2 linked regions of the Cricetulus griseus genome follow. The main gene of each other region encodes a partner of the protein of the gene in region 2 in a complex. Links are inferred from orthologs where the notes say so. Each region holds a gene or a part of one and is shown on either strand. Other genes may lie near its edges.

The links.
Region 1: the proteins of Atp7a (region 2) and Atox1 are in contact, whole or in part, in an NMR structure (PDB 2K1R), measured with the Homo sapiens proteins. The link is inferred for Cricetulus griseus from reciprocal best matches to the Homo sapiens genes ATP7A and ATOX1. Residues at the interface, in NP_000043.4 of Homo sapiens: Cys19, Asn20, Ser21, Cys22, Trp24, Thr25, Gln29, Asp67, Asp68, Met69, Gly70, Phe71, Asp72; in NP_004036.1 of Homo sapiens: Thr11, Cys12, Gly13, Gly14, Cys15, Ala18, Arg21, Val22, Lys25, Lys57, Thr58, Gly59, Lys60.

Annotation. Positions count from the first base shown.
Region 1 is NC_048600.1:69,641,492-69,647,298, forward strand, and holds the start of Atox1 (copper transport protein ATOX1), read right to left. Parts: upstream 3,321-5,807; 5' UTR 3,118-3,320; coding exon 3,049-3,117; intron 1-3,048. UniProt on the Homo sapiens protein: Binds and deliver cytosolic copper to the copper ATPase proteins. May be important in cellular antioxidant defense.
Region 2 is NC_048604.1:64,651,436-64,656,593, forward strand, and holds part of Atp7a (copper-transporting ATPase 1), read right to left. Parts: intron 4,660-5,158; coding exon 4,426-4,659; intron 3,343-4,425; coding exon 3,251-3,342; intron 2,357-3,250; coding exon 2,229-2,356; intron 1,178-2,228; coding exon 1,023-1,177; intron 825-1,022; coding exon 690-824; intron 1-689. UniProt on the Homo sapiens protein: ATP-driven copper (Cu(+)) ion pump that plays an important role in intracellular copper ion homeostasis.

The sequences.
Region 1 (5,807 bases), on a different chromosome or scaffold from region 2:
CTGTAACTCTTAACTCCAGGGGATCTGATGCTTTTTTCTGGACTCCACAGGCACCTACACTTATGTACACATACCCACACAGACAAACACATATACATATAATTAAAAAAAAAAAAGCAGGAACTAGGCAGTGCATGCCTTTAGTCCTAGCACTCGGGAGGCAGAGACAGTTAGATCTTTGTGAGTTCGAGGCCAGCCTGGTCTACTGAGCGAGCTCCATAACAGTCTCCAAAGCTACAGAAAAACCCTGCCCGGAAAAACCTAAACAAGCAAGCAAATAAAAGCCAGGTGCATGCCTTCAATCCCAGTACTCAGGAGGCAGAGGCAGGCGGACCTCTGAGTTCGAGGCCAGAGGTCTACAGAGTGAGTTCCAGGACAACCAGGGCTACACAGAGAAACCCTGTCTCAATCTCCCCACCCCCCCAATAACAAAACAACTAATTTTTAAATAAATAATAAAAAATATTTCATTTCAAATAATAAATAGGGCTAGAGAGACAGCTCAGTAGTTAAGACTACTTGTACTTTCCCAGAAGTTCTGAGTTTGGTTCCCTGAACTACAACCACCTGTATCTCCAACTCCAGGGAATCTGAAGCTCTTCTATCTCTGCACATAAATGGTGCGCATGCACTCTCGCTCACACAAATAAACCTAAAAGATAATAAGTATACTATACTTATCCACTTATTTGCATGTGTGAGTGTGTGCCATTGAGTAAGTGTGGATGTCAGAGGCTATCAGGCTTGCTACAAATATCCTTATCAGCTGACCCATCCTACCACCCTCAAACTCCTTTCTGCAGTATTTTCCTAGCTTGAAAACAGAACTATTCATTTCCTCTTGCTGGGAGGTCACTAAGGTGATGAGGCCATGGGTGCAAAGGCAGGAGCCCTAGAGAGGCTTTCTTTGCTCCAGGGAAATCTTGTTGGTTTTATAACAGCCCATCCTCCACAAACTGACTCTGAGAAGAATCTCTGAAGGGGGTTTCAGAAGATAAGTAATTGCTGCTCAGGGATCTAAAGTCAACAGTTATCTGAGCTCCAAACTGAAGACCCTAACAAGGAAGTCTTTCACAGTACAGAGGTGGGGGGGTGGGCAGCTCACAGGAGGCCAACACTCCACTCCAACTCAGAACTCCCTACACCTCTGCCTACAAACTCTGCAGTTTACACCTGAGGATGACAGAAAGTTCTGCCTAATGGATAGGGTGATCCAGTCTTCACAGGACTATCTCAAGACCTGCTCCATCCCTGGATGTCTCCCCAGTGCCTCTTACAAAAGGGTCATGGAAGAATGGCAGAGCATACACAGGCCCCAAATTAACACTTGGGAGGCCTACGTAGGAGGATTGCTACAAGGATCAGTTGGGCTACATATTCACTTATAGGCCAACCTGAGTTACAGTGTGAGATGCTGTAACAGAAAACAAGCAAAATGGATCCTCTGACGTATATATTAATGTTCTACGGCAACACGCTGTATTATGTATTATGTATTATTACATACAGTATTACTTCAGAGAGCCGGTAAGTGGTACAATTCTTTAACAGACCCTCTAGAACTGGAACAGTGGGAATGGAAGAGGAGAAGTTCTTCTAGAGAACATTGTGTCTTTGGACACTGGTGTCTGGATTCCTGATTACTAATATCTAATTATCTCTGATGTGCCAGGCCTTCTTCTAAACACCTTGTACACTGTCTTGTTTGATAGCTACAATGCTTCCATAAGCCAGGAAACTCTTCCTATTCCCAAGAGATGAGAAAGCTGAAGCTTGGAGGTTGGGTACTGACTCAGGGAGATGCAGCTCATGAGTAACAGGGCCTGGGTTGGACAGAGTACACAAAACTCTAACTTTTAACCACTGAGGTCCACGTTAAAATGGGGTGGAAGCCTGTCCTACATCTACACAGGAGGTACACCACTCCTTGGGGACCGGATGGGTCACTAGTTGTGTTAGATATTTTGATGACATCATTCTAGTTAATACCAAACACAGCCCTGCAAGGTCAGTTTCCAATCCCTATTTTATGGATGAGGAGATGGAAGGCACACACAGAGAGACAGAACATCTTGCCTGAAGTTGCCCAGCTGGCAAGCCATAGGGCATAGACTGGGTTAAGCTTTGGCATGCAAACCACCTTTGGTAAAACTCATTCCCCTGGCTAGACTGGAGGCGGCACTTGAAAGATACCTTTAGTTGTTGGTCTTGAGCTAAGGTGTCTACTATATGCCTCACTCCAATGAAAGTCCCCAGAGGCAGACACAGAATAGAGGGGTCTGCAAGTTATTTTCTTCACTGCTCTCCCCAGGAGAGCCTGGCAGCCTTGACTCTGGGATCCCAGGGTTATGAATGAGCCTCACACTGCAGGACAGACTGGCTTGACTGGTAGGATGGACTTTATCAAGTCTTTTGTTTGTGCTTTGTGCGATCTGAGGAAAAGTCTCTCAAGACAAAGGGTAAGAACCACAAGTGCCACCTGAGATGTTTAAGTCTGCATCAGGTGGGAGCCTCTGGTTCACTCACAGACGATAAGCCCGCTAAAATATGCCCACTGGGTTCAGAGGCACCAGGAGAAAAATGCTCCCGACTCCAAGGCCCTAACCATTATCTCAGGAACTCAACACAGATCAGAGCTCAAAGGCAAGCAGTACAACTGGTTTTGCCCAGCACTTCCCAGGTGATCTGGCTTCATCCTGGATCCTATCTACCTAGCGCCCAACTAGCGCCCAATAAATACTCTCCAACAAACACTGGGCTTTTTCTTATCTTGTGTAATGTTCCAAAGGCCTTTATTAATAAGCAATGAGGCTATGAGGCTAGAAACCACCATGCACAGGAGTGGGTGATTTCAAAGGCAAGGTAAGCGCTGCTCTTGGCTCTGGAAACTCTGCTCCGAGCTTTGGGAACTCCTGGCTGGAAAGGAGGAAAGTATCCTTTCGGTTCAGGGTTGCCCAGGGCTGAAGTGGAAGCAGGCCAGTGTGGGCAGGGGAGGTGGAGAGACCTACTTCTTTGAAAACCTACTAGCTCGGCGGCAGGGGCATGCACCTGGAAAGGGCAGGTACCGGCGTCCCGATGCGGGTTCTCTGCCCTACCTCCCGGTTTCAGTTTCTCCATCGTGCAGGGAAGATTGGGGCTGCTCCTTGACTCTCTAGAGCGATCTTGAGGCCTATATTCTGCAATACAGTTCTCTCTACAGGTTTCCCGAGGGTCGCGAAGCTGGAGGGCGAGTGCGGAGGGAGAGTAAACTAAAGCATGACTGCAGCTCCGGCCATGGCACGCGCCCTAATAGCAGCGTCTGGTCGGGCAGCGGTGCATCGGGCCGGAGAAAACGGTTCGCACGGGTGGAGCGGCAAGGCCACTTACCGGCATGACTGACGCGGCACAGGCTGGGAAGGCGGCGGCAGCGACTACGACTGGAACGCCTCTCCCGGGGCAGCAATGCGGCGCTTCCGGAGAGCGTTCCTGGAAGCCCCACTTTCAAGCCGACCCAGCCTACTGTTAGGCCCCGCCCTAGGACTGGGCTCCGCCTACTCCCCGCCCCTTCCGGGTTCAGCTATGGCAAGGCTCCGCCCCTGAGGGAGGCTCTGCTTAGTTCCCGTCCCTTTCGGCTGAATTACAGCCTGGCCCCGCCCCCTGGGCTGGCCTCCACTTAGTTCCCGCCTCTTTCTAGTCTCAATATATTATTAGGCCCCGCCTCTTTGAAGCTTAGTCACTGGCCCTCCGGAGGGGCCGGAGGGACTGGACTGTTTTGAGACTTGCCCGAAGTTGTCACATGAGATCTTAGGACGTGAAACTGCGCTCTTCACTGGGAATGCAAGATCAAGACTCCTAGAAAGGATGGATCCCGGCATTCCTTGCTACACTAGAGTGGGCTAGCCTAGGGCTGCAGGCCTGTTGTTCCAGCTACTAGAGAGAGGCTCAGAAAAGAAGGGTTCCTGGTTCAGGACCCTGGGCTGCAGAGTTCAAGGCCTTCATGGAATTCATGAGACCTTATCCTGAAAAACATTAGGAAAAATAAAAGAAATCCATTTCTTTTAAGACACTAGGCATATAGGTACACGCCTGTAATCCCAGCACTTGAAAAACTGAGGCAGAGTTGGTTGTGGTGGCACACACCTTCAATCCCAGCATTCCAGAGTCAAAGACATGAGGGTCTCTTGAGTTCAAGTCCAACCTGGTCTACAGAGTGAGTTCCAGGATAGCCAGGGCTGTACAGAGAAACCATCTTAAAAACAAAGCCAAAAGCCAAGGAAAAATTAAAACAACAGAAAAAGCTGAGGCGGGAGGATCCGGAGTTCAAGGTAGCTGGGGCCTTTATTCTCAGCACTCTGGAGGGAGAAACTTCCTCCCCTCCCCCTTCCTATAGGCCAATTGGATGAAACCAATTTTTCAATTACAGTCCCTTTTTCAAGATGACTCTAGCTTGTGTTAAGTTTACAAAAATCTAACCAGCACTCCTATCCTAAAGAAAAACAAAAAAACCTGTGAGAATGCAAGTGTTATTCCCATGCAATTATGGCTGCCATGGTTAGTTGAGTTACTACATGGGTAATCCAATACCCTTGAAGATGGGTTTTCTCAGCAGTGCCAGCAGGAGCCACTAGATGACTACTGATGGCCTAGATTGATCTCCACCACCAGCCATTTATGTTCCTTGAGCAGAAGGTTAAGAGAAGATCCCTAAACTAAGTAGGCAACTTGTCATTCTGTGTATCAAGATGGGTTCAGTCAGAAAACCAGGCAATTTATTGTACACAGAAGTTATGAGAAGTTGGCTAACAGGAAAAAGCCTAAGAATCAAAGAATAGGTGGATTGGGGGGGTGGTGGCTGAGAGTCAAGGGAATCATGAATTGGAGACCAGTCTGAGCTACCCAAGAACCTGTCTTAAATCAAATGAACTAAAATAACTAAGAATATAGCAGACTGGGCAGGGTGAGCACCTGTAATCTCATCACTTGGGAATTGGAAGCAGGGGGAGTGCAGGAACTTCAAGGTCAGCCTACCTAATACCACATCCGAAGCACCGCCCCCTCCACCCCAGATACAAAAGTGTGGTGGATGTAAGATTCCACCATCCAGAAAGCTGAGACATGGTGTCCAAGAAGTAGGTCCTGTCCCCTGCACGCCAGTCCCAAACTGAGCTCAAAGCCTTATTAGGAAGGGCACAGCCGTGACCCGCTGAATGCAGAGTGCCTGGGTCCTGGCTTAGAAGTCTGGCTGGGAGGCTACTGGAAAAACACCTGCATCCCTTACAAGGGAACTAATACCACTCTCTGCTCTTCTCCCCAACTGGACTCTTGACTTCTAGAGAACAAGAACCTCCATCTGTCTGTCCAGGACAGAAATGTCACAGAGGCTGACGCAAAAGCCACAGAGCCAGTGTCAAGCACAGGTGGCCCCAGATTTATTCTGGGAGAAGTGATGCCATCTTTATTTCACCTACTGCCGTGAGACTTCCTGTTACTTGCCCCTCTGCCTGATAAGCATGCAGGTGTTTCTAGTTAGTGTTGCAATAACACCACATACATTGCATCCAGGCTGTCTCTCAAAAAAAGGGAGAGGGTTTATGTTTATTGATCCGATTTTTTTTTTCAAGACAGGGTTTCACTATGTAGCTATGACTGTCCTGGAACTCACTCAGTAGACTAGGCTGGCCTCGAACTCCAGAGATCTGCTGACCTGAGATTAAAGGCACACACCACCACTGCTTTACTTTATTTAAAGATTACACTTGTTTATTTTGTAGGTGTGAGTTTCCACATTTGTATGTCATATCATGTGTTTGGAGACCTGAAGGCAGCTT
Region 2 (5,158 bases):
TAAACAAGGAGGACCCTAAGAGAAACATACATGGTCCCCTGGAGAAGGGGAAAGGGTCAAGATTCCCTGAGCAAATTGAGAGCATGGGAAGAGGGGGGAGGGAGCTATGAGAATGAGAAGGGAAGAAGAGGAGGGATGCAGAGGTCATGAGGGAGCAGAAAGTTTGAGTCAGGGGGAGAATAGAAGAAAGGATATGGCTCTTTTTGATACTGAGGATAAACACATGGCCTACCAAATGCTGGGCATCATTATACCATCTACATTCTCAGCCAGTATTGTTCATTTCCAAAGTGTGTTTGTTATGAGACAAAGTTTCATTGTTCTTCCCTGGCTGGCCTGATACTTGTAGAGGTTGGCCCTAAACTCACAGAGATCTGCCTGACTCTGCCTCCTGAGTGCTAAGATTATAGGCATGCACCAGGACACCTGGTTCAAAATCATTTATTTATTTTTCTTATGTGTCTGTATCTGTTTGTGGTTATGTGAAGATAAGTGAAAGTATTCTCAGAAGCCAGAGGCATCAAATTGTGCTGTAGCTGTAGTTACAGATGGGTGCAATTTGCCCAGTGTAGGCAGGTGCACTGCTAAGCCATTTCTCCAGCTCCTCAAAATTATTTTTACTTAATTAATTCTACAAAAGATTCACAAAATGTTTTGAATATAGTCAAGAGTTGTTGCAAGTCACTTACGGGAAAGTAGGTTTCCACAATTGTAAAATTCTGAAATCCAATTATAATCCACACCAAGAGGGTAGCAATGGAAACCAAGACGATAAAAGGAACAAAGTAGCCACTGAGTTTGTCTGCAAACTGCTGGATAGGAGCCTAGAATTTAGAATAATAATAATAATGAGTGTCTTTAAGTCTTTTTTCAAATACAGAATATATTTGGTAGTTAGCATAGACAGAAATATTTTAATAAAACTTCACATGAATGCAACTAGATCAAAAGAAAATACACATCAAGATTCATAGTAGGAAGCTTTAAAGAAAATACCTTCTGCTCCTAGGGGACTAGGTTACCTTTGATGTTTGTGCCTCCTCTACAAGTTTGACAATTTGAGAAAGGGTTGTGTCTGCTCCAACATGGGTTGCTCGGATAAGGAGGGATCCATTTTGGTTAATGGAACCTGCGATTACCGTGCTGCCAGGTTTCTTAGCCACAGGCATTGCCTCCCCTGAAGGAAGAGGAAAACAATCAGACAACAAAAATGATTAGTATCCTCTTGAAACATGTTTATTAATTCAGTGTCAACAAATACCTAGAAAAGACATTCTTCTCGAACTAGAATCTAGACACTTGCAAAGGTAAAAGTTGCCCTTCCTTTTTTCTCACCTTAGTTTTAGGCCAAACACAGGGATGTAGACCTTGAACTGGAAAAGCTTACCATGTTAGCTCTTGTCCACAGATATTTTAGGAGCTTCATTCTACTCGTAGAGCAGAAGTTCTTAAGGGGCATTTTGAAATGTGGGAGGGCATTTTTCTTTGTAACACTGGATGGGAGTAGAGCGCCGAGACTACTGCTTAGTAGGCCAGGATCAGGGTCACTAAATTATACTACATAGCTCAAGACATAGAACTAAAAAAAAATTCTCATCTAAACTGGCAATAGCAGACCACGGGGAAACAGCGTCCTGAATTAATAAATAAACTGAGCATCCACTACGACTACCAGAGGTGGGAGAGGTGTTATTTTTGATTCTGATCCACACTGGACTCTGTTAGCCAAGATTTCTAAACATCTTCCAGTCCTGCCTGCTTTCTTCAAGCTGCCCTGATGTGGAAAACTTCGAACTCTGGCCCAGCTTTGACTACATCAGCTGCTTAGGCAGGAAAACAGAATATTTATCTGCTCTGGGATATTTGCCAAAGTCAACCTGGCTCTACAAGGCACTGAATAACTTTGTTCTTGTGCATTCTAGTAATTAAGACTCTTCAGTGTGGGTGTTAGAGCAATGGTTCAGCATGTTAGGAGCACTTGCAGGCCAAACTCTAATACACATAAAATAAAAATCAATAAATCTTTAAAAAAAAGAAATCTTCAATGTTTAGTCTTCAACAACATACCTAAAAACATAGTAACCCTGAGGAAACTGAAGGCAGTCTTTAAAGAACTCATATTCTTTGCTCATTATTTATACATTTATTGGTTCTCCTTTGGTGTCTGCTTTTCATTATCACTTTGGATTCACTTCACTTTCATGTCATGATCCTCTGACAGAACGTACCTGTGATGAGGGACTCGTCTACCATAGAATGTCCTTCGATAACACGGCCATCCACTGGAAATTTGCCTCCTGGAACCACCTTAATTATATCTCCACGCTGTACAAGTTCCACATCCACTTGTTCTTCACTGCACATGAGTTAACATAAAAAGTGTCATGGCATCTGCTTCTTAGTCTAACCTCCACACACACAATTTGGAGATCATGCCAAGCTTATAGCTCCATAATTATTACCAACAGAACCTAGGAGCAACATTTATGCTAGAAACAACTATTTATATCAGTTTTGCTCACTGGTAGTAATGCACAAAGTTTTGGCCCAAAGCAGACACTCTACATATTTATTCAATAATCACTGAATGGGCAGTGGTGACACACACCTTTAATCCCAGCACTCAGGAGGCAGAGGCAGACATATCTCTATGAGTTAGAGGCCAACCTGGTCTACAAAGTGAGTTCCAAGACAGCCTGGGCTGTTACACAGAGAAATCCTGTCTCAAAAAACAAAACAAAACAAAACAAATCAATAATCACTGAATAATTGAAGGCTTAAAAAATAATACCATAGTAGCATACAGTGTTAATCCCAGAACTTGGGAAGTGGAGGCAGGAGAATCATGAGTTCAAAGTCATTCTGAGCTATATACAGTGAGCTCAAGATCAGCCTGTGTTACGTGAGACACTCAGTAGTTATACATAATTGTCACAAGGTATCTTATGTTTCTTCTTAAATAGAACAGCTCCTTCATTCCTTCCTTCCTTACCTTCTCCTTTAGTCAAAGGAGGAATCACTAAAGGGAAAAATACCATAAGAAGTTACAAAAGAAGGTCAGTAAGCTGGCTCAACAGGTAAGAGTGCTTGCTGCCAAGTTTAACAACCTGAGTGCTATCCCTAGGGCTTACATGGAAGGAGGAAACTCCCACAAGCTGTCCTCTGACCTCCACACATGTGCCAAGGCATATGTATACACACCACAATAAAATGTTTAAGACAAGTTACAAAAGGAAATGAAGATAAATACCTCAGGAGGAGATTTTCAGAGTTAAGAGTTACAATAGTTGCTTCTGTTGCTTGTAGTGAAATTAGCTTTGCAAGAGCTTCTGAGGTTTTGCCCTATAAATTAAAACACAATAATGATGCTAAGAAAGAAACTGTTCAAACCTTTAACATTCACTCAAACATCAGCTTTGAAACATTTAATCAGAAACAAATTTTCATTGGAAAATAAATATCTTATGAAAAGCATTCAAAAGTACTAGGTGTAATTTATAAAGAAATACAAGTATTAGAAAAATATCAGGAATCTAATTCATAAATGAGCAAAGCACATGAATAGGTAGATCATTCAACAGGGACTATAAATACTCAACATATGGGGAAATGATTATTCAGAAACTCAAACTAAAGCCATCTTGTAATTCATCTACTAACTTAGCAAGAATTTAGATAAGATGCAGTGTTGAAGACTGACAGACCCTCACTGGCAAAATTTCCTACAGCTTATAGCATGAGAGCATGGAAAGATATATGCCCTTTAAGACAGTACCATATCCTTTCTAATTACTCCCAAGGTAGTCAGATCACAGGAGATGACTATTAGACATGAATATGTTCATCTTAGGATTATCTAAAAGAAAAATTTGGAAAAATTTTAATTGAAAAGAATGGTTTAGTAAATAAGAGCACAGTGACCTAACAGAAAAAGCAAGTGATTGTCTAGACTACAGTCAGGGAAAAAACTGTATAGTTTTTTCTACTCTGCTAAACATAAAGTTACATGGAACAGGATTAGAAACTGACTTTCATCACAACATGGGAGCATGAATGAACTTTGACATCAGGTTTAAGCCAATTGGCCAAATCAATTCTCAATTAATAATCTGGTATAACAAATAAGTACGTCTCAAATGTTTCTCATAAAGTACCATGGATATTCAATAGATACTGCTAAAACTAAAATGGTTAACTATAAAAATCAATACACATTTCTAATAAGCAGTCTAGAAAATAAGGTCTTTGTTTTTTTTTGTTTTTTGATTTTTGTTTTTGGTTTTTCGAGACAGGGTTTCTCTGTGTAGCTTTGGAGCCTATCCTGGCACTCGCTCTGGAGACCAGGCTAGCCTCGAACTCACAGAGATCATAAGAAGGTGTTTGACTGATCCAATATTTTAACAAATGTCACCTTTCTTACTTTACCTTTGCTATATGTTCCAGCCATCGACCTAGGGCAATAAACACAAAGAGCATAGGAGGCGTATCAAAGAAGGTAATAGGGTTCACTCTGGCTCTCTCATACATGGCGACCAGAAGAATAACCAGAGAGTAGGCAAACGCAATGGTAGTTGCCAGCACAATCAGCACATCCATATTTGCTGTCTTATGCTTCAGTGCTTTGTAAGCCTGAACGTAGAAGTACCAGCCTCCACAAAACTGTAACAGAAGAGTGATAATTACTGAATTTCCTTAGACACTGAAATTCATATGTATACCTAAATGAGCTTAGCATAAAGTATCAATGTTTACATCCTTTGCCACTAAGAGGATTTGTTGTTGTTGTTATAGAACCTCATATGTATCCCAGCTGACCTTGAACTTGATAAGATCTTCCTGCCTCTGCTTTGCAACTCCTAGGATTACAGGCATGCATCACCACACCTGGCTGTAAGGAGATTTTGAGCTAGAGCAAGTTTGCATTTTAGCAGAACTATGTGCAGAAGAAGGGCTTCAAATTGTTGTGCAAGATACCAAGGGACATCCTCTATGACCCAGAGGATACTTCATACCATAAAGAAAGTCAGACAGCTATTGCATTTTTCTTTTTGATGCTAGCCTAAATAAGTAAACTAGGAAATAAATGTATACATTTTGGAAAGGGCTTTTTTAAATATATAAAACTTAGCTCCTTTCCAAAAGTCAATCATAAACTGTT